2 linked regions of the Danio rerio genome follow. The protein of the gene in region 2 interacts with the protein of the main gene of each other region in a biochemical or structural test. Links are inferred from orthologs where the notes say so. Each region holds a gene or a part of one and is shown on either strand. Other genes may lie near its edges.

Region 1 (3,834 bases), on a different chromosome or scaffold from region 2:
CATTGGGATGTAAGGAGCCAGCATCTCTAGGTCGAGATCCTCCATGGGCTAGAGGTCACAGAAATGTGCAAGAGAGATTACAAACCATCTAATGACTGCAAAGTTGTGTATTTTATTTTATTGTTTTATTATAATATTGTTTTTTTTATAATTTATTTTTCTTTCGTTTTCTTTGTAATAATATAAAATAAAAAACTTAGTCTTTTTTATTTGCATATGTACTTATCAAATCTGTAATTGTGTTTTATGTACATGTGTATATATATTCATATTTGCAATATATAAGCAATACTTGACAAGTCATGCCAATAAAGCTCATTTGAATTAGAATTTGATTTTGGGAGAGAGTGAGACAAACAATATGTAGTTAAAATCTTAAATAAAAAGTTACCTGGGTGGAAAAAGGTGTCTTTGCTTCGGTATCAATAGCAAACAGTTTCTCAACCAGGTCGAGTTTAAATTCAGAACTGATGTCTGGTTCCACTGGGAAACCGTAATCCATGGGGCTGTTGGGCTAAGATTGACAAAAAAAAACAACCTAAAGTCAGTGACAGTATCTCATTAACCATTACAAGGGAGCAATTGTTGTTAAATGACCAAGAATAGCAAGCGTTTAATAAGTGTTTACCCCCGAAGAGCCGAGTCCAGATGTGGAGGGTGTGTTTGTGGGGTCTGGCACACGATCAGAGGCAGAGCTGAAAGGGAAGTCCTCTCCTCCAGTCTCTAGTTTGGTCAGAGCTGGGATGGAGTCGCTGGGTGTGAGAGGAGATAGGCTGAGTGGCAGCTTCTCACTGCTGGAAGGCAGCATGACATCATTGTAGAGGGGCACCTCCTTCAGCAGCTGTATGTCAGAATCTGGAGGGAAATGGATACCGGTAATTATTATTGGTAGACCACCAAGGAACTGTGTGTATTTAATATTAGATTTACTTCAGTAAAATTATGAAAGCACATTTCCTGTAATCTCAGATGATTAGTGAATGACAAGAGTTGTTAGTCTTCATAAGATAAAAAGCTGCCAGGGGATTGCATTTAATCCTCTAAAGCAGTGTTTCTCAACTATGTGCCTGGAGGACCACCAACACTGCATGTTTTGGTTATCTACATTGTCTGTCACACCCATTATAGGCCTTTCAGTCTCAGGGAAAATGTGCAGAGCTGGTGGTCTACCAGGAATGTGGTTGAGAAACACTGCTCTAAAGATACACACTCTTGAAATGTTTATGGTCAGTAATACAGAGTTCACACCAATTGCAAGTTGAAGTATTCACATGAGTAGATTACATCCAAATTCAATGCAAAATTCTGTTAAACATAAAAGATGACTTTAGCAGAGTATAGGAAGTTGGTAGCCATTAGCTATGTAACAAACCTAGATTATCGCATAAAATGTGTGTATAAAGCAGCGTTTCCATCAAAGCGAACAAAATAGTCATTTCCTGATTAACTGGCACCAAATATCAACCAAAAAAAAAAACGAACTTGCTGGAGTAGAAGAAGCTGTGTCAATCTTCTCTTCATCTAATAAATGATTTGCACCTTAGAAGGCAATCCTGACACGCAATGAATGCGCAGTGGCGTTTGAAGGTGTGAGACACGAAGCACAGACGCTCTTGATTCTGGAGGTCATTAATAATATAATAACACTAATACTTAAACGGTAAGGCAATTTAGAATGACCAAAACAACATTTCAGCTGTTTTATATTGTGCTCAGCCAGCTGGTTTGTCCATTTACAAACATTTTCATCACATGATCTCTTATAACAGAATCACATGACCATTTTTAATGCTCATAATGAAATTTGTGCGGTAAAAGTGTTTTCATCGTAGTTTACACTTCTTTTCTTATCGAATAACAAGTTTATCCTACTCAGTTAAGCGCATAAGTTCATGCGCATTTTCAAAATGTATGCGCATCGTGGCGTTTCCATCAATCGTTTTTTTTTTTTTTTTTTTTAAATAGGTGGATCGAAGCATAGCTACTGACTTACATTGTAGGAAAATAAATACCGTTTAAGTCAAATGATACTAGTTTCCATCATTCAATAAAGAAACAAACATTTTTTTCTTCCATTCAGCATGCGGTATGAACTTCCATTACAACAACTCTTCCAGCAGTTCATAGTTGCATCCAACATCTCGTTTGTCATCGGGGGCATGCACGAATGAAAGTGAAAGTGCCAAACCGCAGTTAAAGTTGACAAATTAACAATAAAACACCCGAAATTACATGAAACTTCGGAGGAAATGCGGATAATGCGGTGACGCAATGACGGTAATCTAAGTATGTGCTATAACATGTAAAATGTGATCATGAAAGAAACTTTCAAAAAGCAACTCATGTAAACGCCTTTATCTTATTATTGTAGATTAAGGCAAATAATTCGATTACTGATGTCCATGTAAACATAGTCAGTGAAGTCTCTTACGTTGCAACAGAAATTTATTCTCTAAATAGACGTGCATTTGAACTTTCTACTCATTAAAACATTACAATTTTCAACAATGACTACAATAAATATTTCTTGAGCGAAAATCTGCATCTTAGAAATGACTTCCAAAGAATCCTGTTAAACTCTAAAAGCATACATCCCTGTTCATACATCCCCCAAATTACACTTTAAAGGTTTGTTTATGTTTAATGCCATGCCAGGTTCTTTGGTTATTTTCATGGCGAGAAAATATCAACTGACTGCAGTAAAGCTTAAGTATTTTTTCATTTATTGCTAAAATCTCTTAAACCATATTCGGTTTAACAGTGATAAAAATGTATTCAAAAGTAGCATAGTGGAACTAAATAAAAAAATGTCTCAAAGAATTAAAGCCAACACAAACTGTGTTGAGAGAGAACATGCTTCACAGATAAAGTGCTTTTGCAAAGACAACAGATTGGAGGATCTACTCCTACAGGTGAAAAACATACTGGGAGTATCTATAATTGTACTAAAAAACTGCGTGTCATCTTTGATTGACCCATTCTACAGTGGGTATAAACAACTTGATTCCACCAGTTAGAAATTTTAAGGTTTCTTTATCAATATTGGGGCTAATTTCACAGAGTTCACTTTAACTGTAAAAAATTAAAACTATAGACTAGAAGTGTTAATAAACATTGCAGGAATGTCCCTTAAGACTAATCTAGATGTGAATATATAAAAAGATATGTGCATCTTTGCTCATGGATCTTTTAATAAGCTCTCATTGAAACTGAATGAATTTAGGTGGCTTCCAGTTACTCTCAAATTACTGAAAAAATGTACCCATCCAGCAAGAATTACCTGAGTTGTTGAAGTCCAGAGAGATAATGGCGTCGCCTGCTGCAGGTGCCAACACAGTGAGGGCCTCTGGCTCCTCTTTCAGCTTATTATAAAGTGTAGAGCTTTCCAATGAGCAATTGAGGCTTTCTGGCTTGAAGAGCTTGAGAATATCCAATTCAGAGGTCTTTTCCTCAGTCTCCTCACTTTCTTTCTCAACAGCCTTGGGCTCAGTCACGGTCTGCTGCAAGGACAGGACTACATCCCCCTCTACAATGCCACTGGATAAGACAGAGTAGTAAAGTTGAAAATATGAGTTAATTAGCATTTATGCATACATTTTACATAGAAACGCACAATATATCATTTCAGAATCAATATCACAAGTGAATCCACAATAGTTCTATTGCAGGACCTGCAATGTCAAATTAGGATTATAGTTGACCAGGAACCACAGGAGTTTTCAAATACATGATTTGTAAAGTCATTGCTAATTTGAACTTTAAAGGTACAAAAAGTTTAACATTTGTATGTTTTTAAGGCCTGTGACAAATGTATTTCTATATTTTACATGATTT
Region 2 (3,834 bases):
TTCAATACATGATCTGATCTTAATTAAAAATCCCACTGTTACTTTAAAAAACCCATTTCCAAATCTTGATCCAATCTGTGATCCAAAATCCCACTGGACTGCTTTTGAAAAAGTGGGCACAGATTATTTAACTGATGCGATTGATTCAGTGTGACTAATAAACGCACAACTATAGAATCATCTCACAGCAAGATTCATTTCAAACACTGAAGTTATTGCGAGTTTGGAGTTAAACCATGTTATTATTTGTTGCATGTTATTATATGTTACTTTTATTATTTACTAAACAGAGCTATAGTTCACTGAGAAGCAACTCAACAGCTGTTAATATTACAGAACAATGATTTTAATGTCATTATCGACCAAGCAAATCAAATAAATTTTTTTACAAATTTTTGTGTAGCTTCTCAGTGTACTACAGCTGTGTGTAGTAGATGCCGCTCCATCTGATGAATAGAAGTTTTACTAGAACCGTCTTCACTGAAAAAATGCACATAAAAATCCTCTTTGATTAATTTGCCAGCCCTAGGGTTAGAAGAAGAAACATATAATGCATAATAGAATAATTACTGATCACGTGACACTGAAAATTGGCAAAATGGCTGCTGAAAACTCAGCTTCTTTCCTTGCAGCAGACGCCCTTCCAGCTGCAACCCATCACTGGGAAACATCCATACACGTTCATTCACAGACATACACTACGGACAATTTAGCTTACCCAATTCACCTATAGTGCATGTCTTTGGACTTTTGGGGTGGAAACCGGAGCACCCGGAGGAAACCCATGCAAACACGGGGAGAACATGCAAACTCCACACAGAAATGCCAACTGTCCCAGCCGAGGCTCGAAACAGCAACCTTCTTGCTGTGAGGTGATTGTGCTACACACTGTGCTGCTTGCAGTATTAATATTTCACATTATATTTTTAATAAATGGTAAGCATAACTCTTTCAACAATAAAAACATGAAAAAATCTCAATTTTCAGGCCATCACACCTGTGTTTCCTGGTGCCGGCACAGCTGTGGCTGGTGTCGCTGTTTCAGTTTCTCTCTCAGCCTGTCCGTCTTGTGCAGCTGTGTCCACATCTGCATCCTCATCCATTTCACGTGTCCTCTCTTCTCCTCTTCTCTCCTTCAGCCTCTCTTTCTCCGAGATGCCTCCGGTTCCTCTCACTGCCACACATTCATCTTGAATGAGGAGCTCTGCTTCTCCTCCTGCACGCTCTCCATCTCCCCTTTCGCTTCCTGATCCAGAGTCACACGACAGGAATTCGTCTTCAGAGGGGCTTCGGTCTCCGTCCACAAGATTACAGCTGTCCAGACTGAGGTCAGGCTCGACTTCAGAGATGCCACCGCTGCAGTCAAACAAAGGCTCCTTCAGCTCCTCGTGAAGCTGGTCCATCAGACATCGCAAAAACTCCTGAGTGTCCTAGAAACAGGCAAGAAACAAAATGTCAATGAGGTTTATATTATTTCTTTGAAAATAATAGTCTTTAAAAAATGCACAGTAGACATCATATGAGTGTTATTACTGTTTAACAAAACTATTCAAAATCAATGTTGTCTGGCACCGGTAGCCTTGTGGGTGGTATGCTGACATGTAGCACCACTGCATTCTGGGCAATTAAAGTTCGAATTAAAGCTTGCAGACTTTTCCTGATAACCCTCACTCCCAAATACTCTAGCTTGTCTCACAAATCTCCTTTAACAATACAGGTAAAAATGTTTTTCAAATATATAAATAAAAGAAATAAATCTTTGAATAAAATACACTCACTGGCCACTTTATTGGGGTACACCTGTCCAACTGCTCATTAGCACAAATGTCTAATCAGTCGATCACATGACAGCAACTCACTGCATTTAGACATTTAGACGTGGTCAATACAATTTGCTGCAGTTCAAAATGAGCATCAGAATGGGGAAGAAAGGTGTTTTAAGGTATTTTGACATGGTTGATGATGCCAGAATTTGGCGTCAACAACATGAAAGCATTGATCAATCCTGCCTTGTATCAACGGTTCAGGCTGGTGGTAGTAGTGTAATGGTGCAGGGGATATTTTCTTGGCACACTTTGGGTCCATTAGTACCAATTGAAAATTGTGTCAACGCCACAGACAGCCTACCAGTGTATTGTTGCTGACCATGTCCATCCCTTTATGACCACACCTTTATGACCACATCCATCTTCTGAAGTCTACTTCCAGCAGGATAACATGCCATGTCATAAAGTGCGAATCATCGCAGAGTGGTTTCTTAAACCTGACAATGAGTTTACTGTACTCAAATGGCCTCCACAGTCACCAGAACTTCAATAGAGCACCTTTGGGATGTGGTGGAACAGGAGATTCACATCATGGATGTGCAGCTGAAAAATGCAGCAACTGCAACTGCATGATGCTATCATGTCAATATGGAGCAAAATCTGTGAGGAATATTTCCAGTTCCAAGTTGAATCTATGCCACGATAAAGATAAGATAAAGACAGTTGTGACGGCAAAAGGTGGTCCAATCTGGTACTATTAAAGTGTACCTAATTAAGTGGCTGGTGAGTGCATAACTTACTGATAAATAAAAAATCAAATAGCACTAAAATACTGAAATAAAAGAGATCTAAATCTAAAATTTTTTAAGCCTAAATAAAAGACCTGACAGAATTGCAAATAATATAACATACTATAATATTACCATAATATAACAGAAAAAAAACATTAAAATAAAAATGAAATAAATAAACACTACACACTATAGTGGAATTTAAATAAAACACACTACACACTATAGTGGAATTTAAATAAAACACACTAGGGCTACTACAATGTATTGTTTCAGATTGTTTTCAGATTGCACATCCACTATTGGCAGAATGTGCAGTGTCATGTAGGGATTATCAATGACTTGAAAACATGAAGTGGTCTACATATATCAATGGTCTTATATATATATATCATCATTATATTATATATATATCATATATATGATATATATATATATATATATATCAAAAATATATATCAAAAATGCTAAATATTGCTATGTATTTTTTCCAATATTGTGAAGCCCTAGAATACACCACAGTGCTTCCCACGGGTTTGAAATATATTTGCGGTGCTAGCTGGATTGAAACACACCTTTTACCCACATCAGATAAATAGTTAACTATATGCAACAAACATAACAATTTAATTGTTAACAATAATTAAATTTATTAAGAAACAGTTTCCTTACAATGGGTTAAGGTACAAAAAAAAAAAAAAAAAAAAGAAATTCACTATTTCTTTTAATTTTAGGCTATTCAGGAGCCATGTACACCCACTGACAGATAAAATCTGCTTTACTCTATCTCACAATTAAGTTCAGTTTGCTTTATTGGCATCAAATTAATAAAATATAAAACAAATTAGAAATAAATGACAGAAAAAAGGAATAAAAGTAGACAATATCTCAAAAAAATATAATAATTACAAGAATAAAACATCTAGATAATTTAAATAGGGCAAAATAATTGATTACCCATACTAATAATGTACATATATTTTTCAGCTAATTTAGAACTCATAATTTCTTTCAATTCCTTTCCTCTCTGAGTATATAGAATTAAAAAATAATTATTTAATGTTTCTCTCACTCTCTGTGTGCATAATTGATGACAGCTTTAGAAAGCGAAAGCAAAAGTCAAATCCCGGTAATTTCAGATTTAGAAACCCCAGTCTGACAAAAAAAGCGCATCTCTGTGGGTGTTTATAGAATGTGAAACTGTCTGTGAAAGGGTCGACAGGTCTTAACCACACAGATCGAGCATGAAACGGGTAAACGAGAGAAGATTTTCCACT

Evidence for each region.
Region 1: of the proteins of usp20 (region 2) and hif1ab, one has a biochemical effect on the other in vitro, tested with the Homo sapiens proteins (2 studies listed by BioGRID and IntAct, with this or other methods). The link is inferred for Danio rerio from reciprocal best matches to the Homo sapiens genes USP20 and HIF1A.

Annotation. Positions count from the first base shown.
Region 1 is NC_133195.1:22,873,572-22,877,405, forward strand, and holds part of hif1ab (hypoxia inducible factor 1 subunit alpha b), read right to left. Parts: intron 3,538-3,834; coding exon 3,281-3,537; intron 856-3,280; coding exon 629-855; intron 515-628; coding exon 392-514; intron 49-391; coding exon 1-48.
Region 2 is NC_133180.1:33,926,446-33,930,279, reverse strand, and holds part of usp20 (ubiquitin carboxyl-terminal hydrolase 20), read right to left. Parts: intron 1,431-3,834; coding exon 998-1,430; intron 1-997.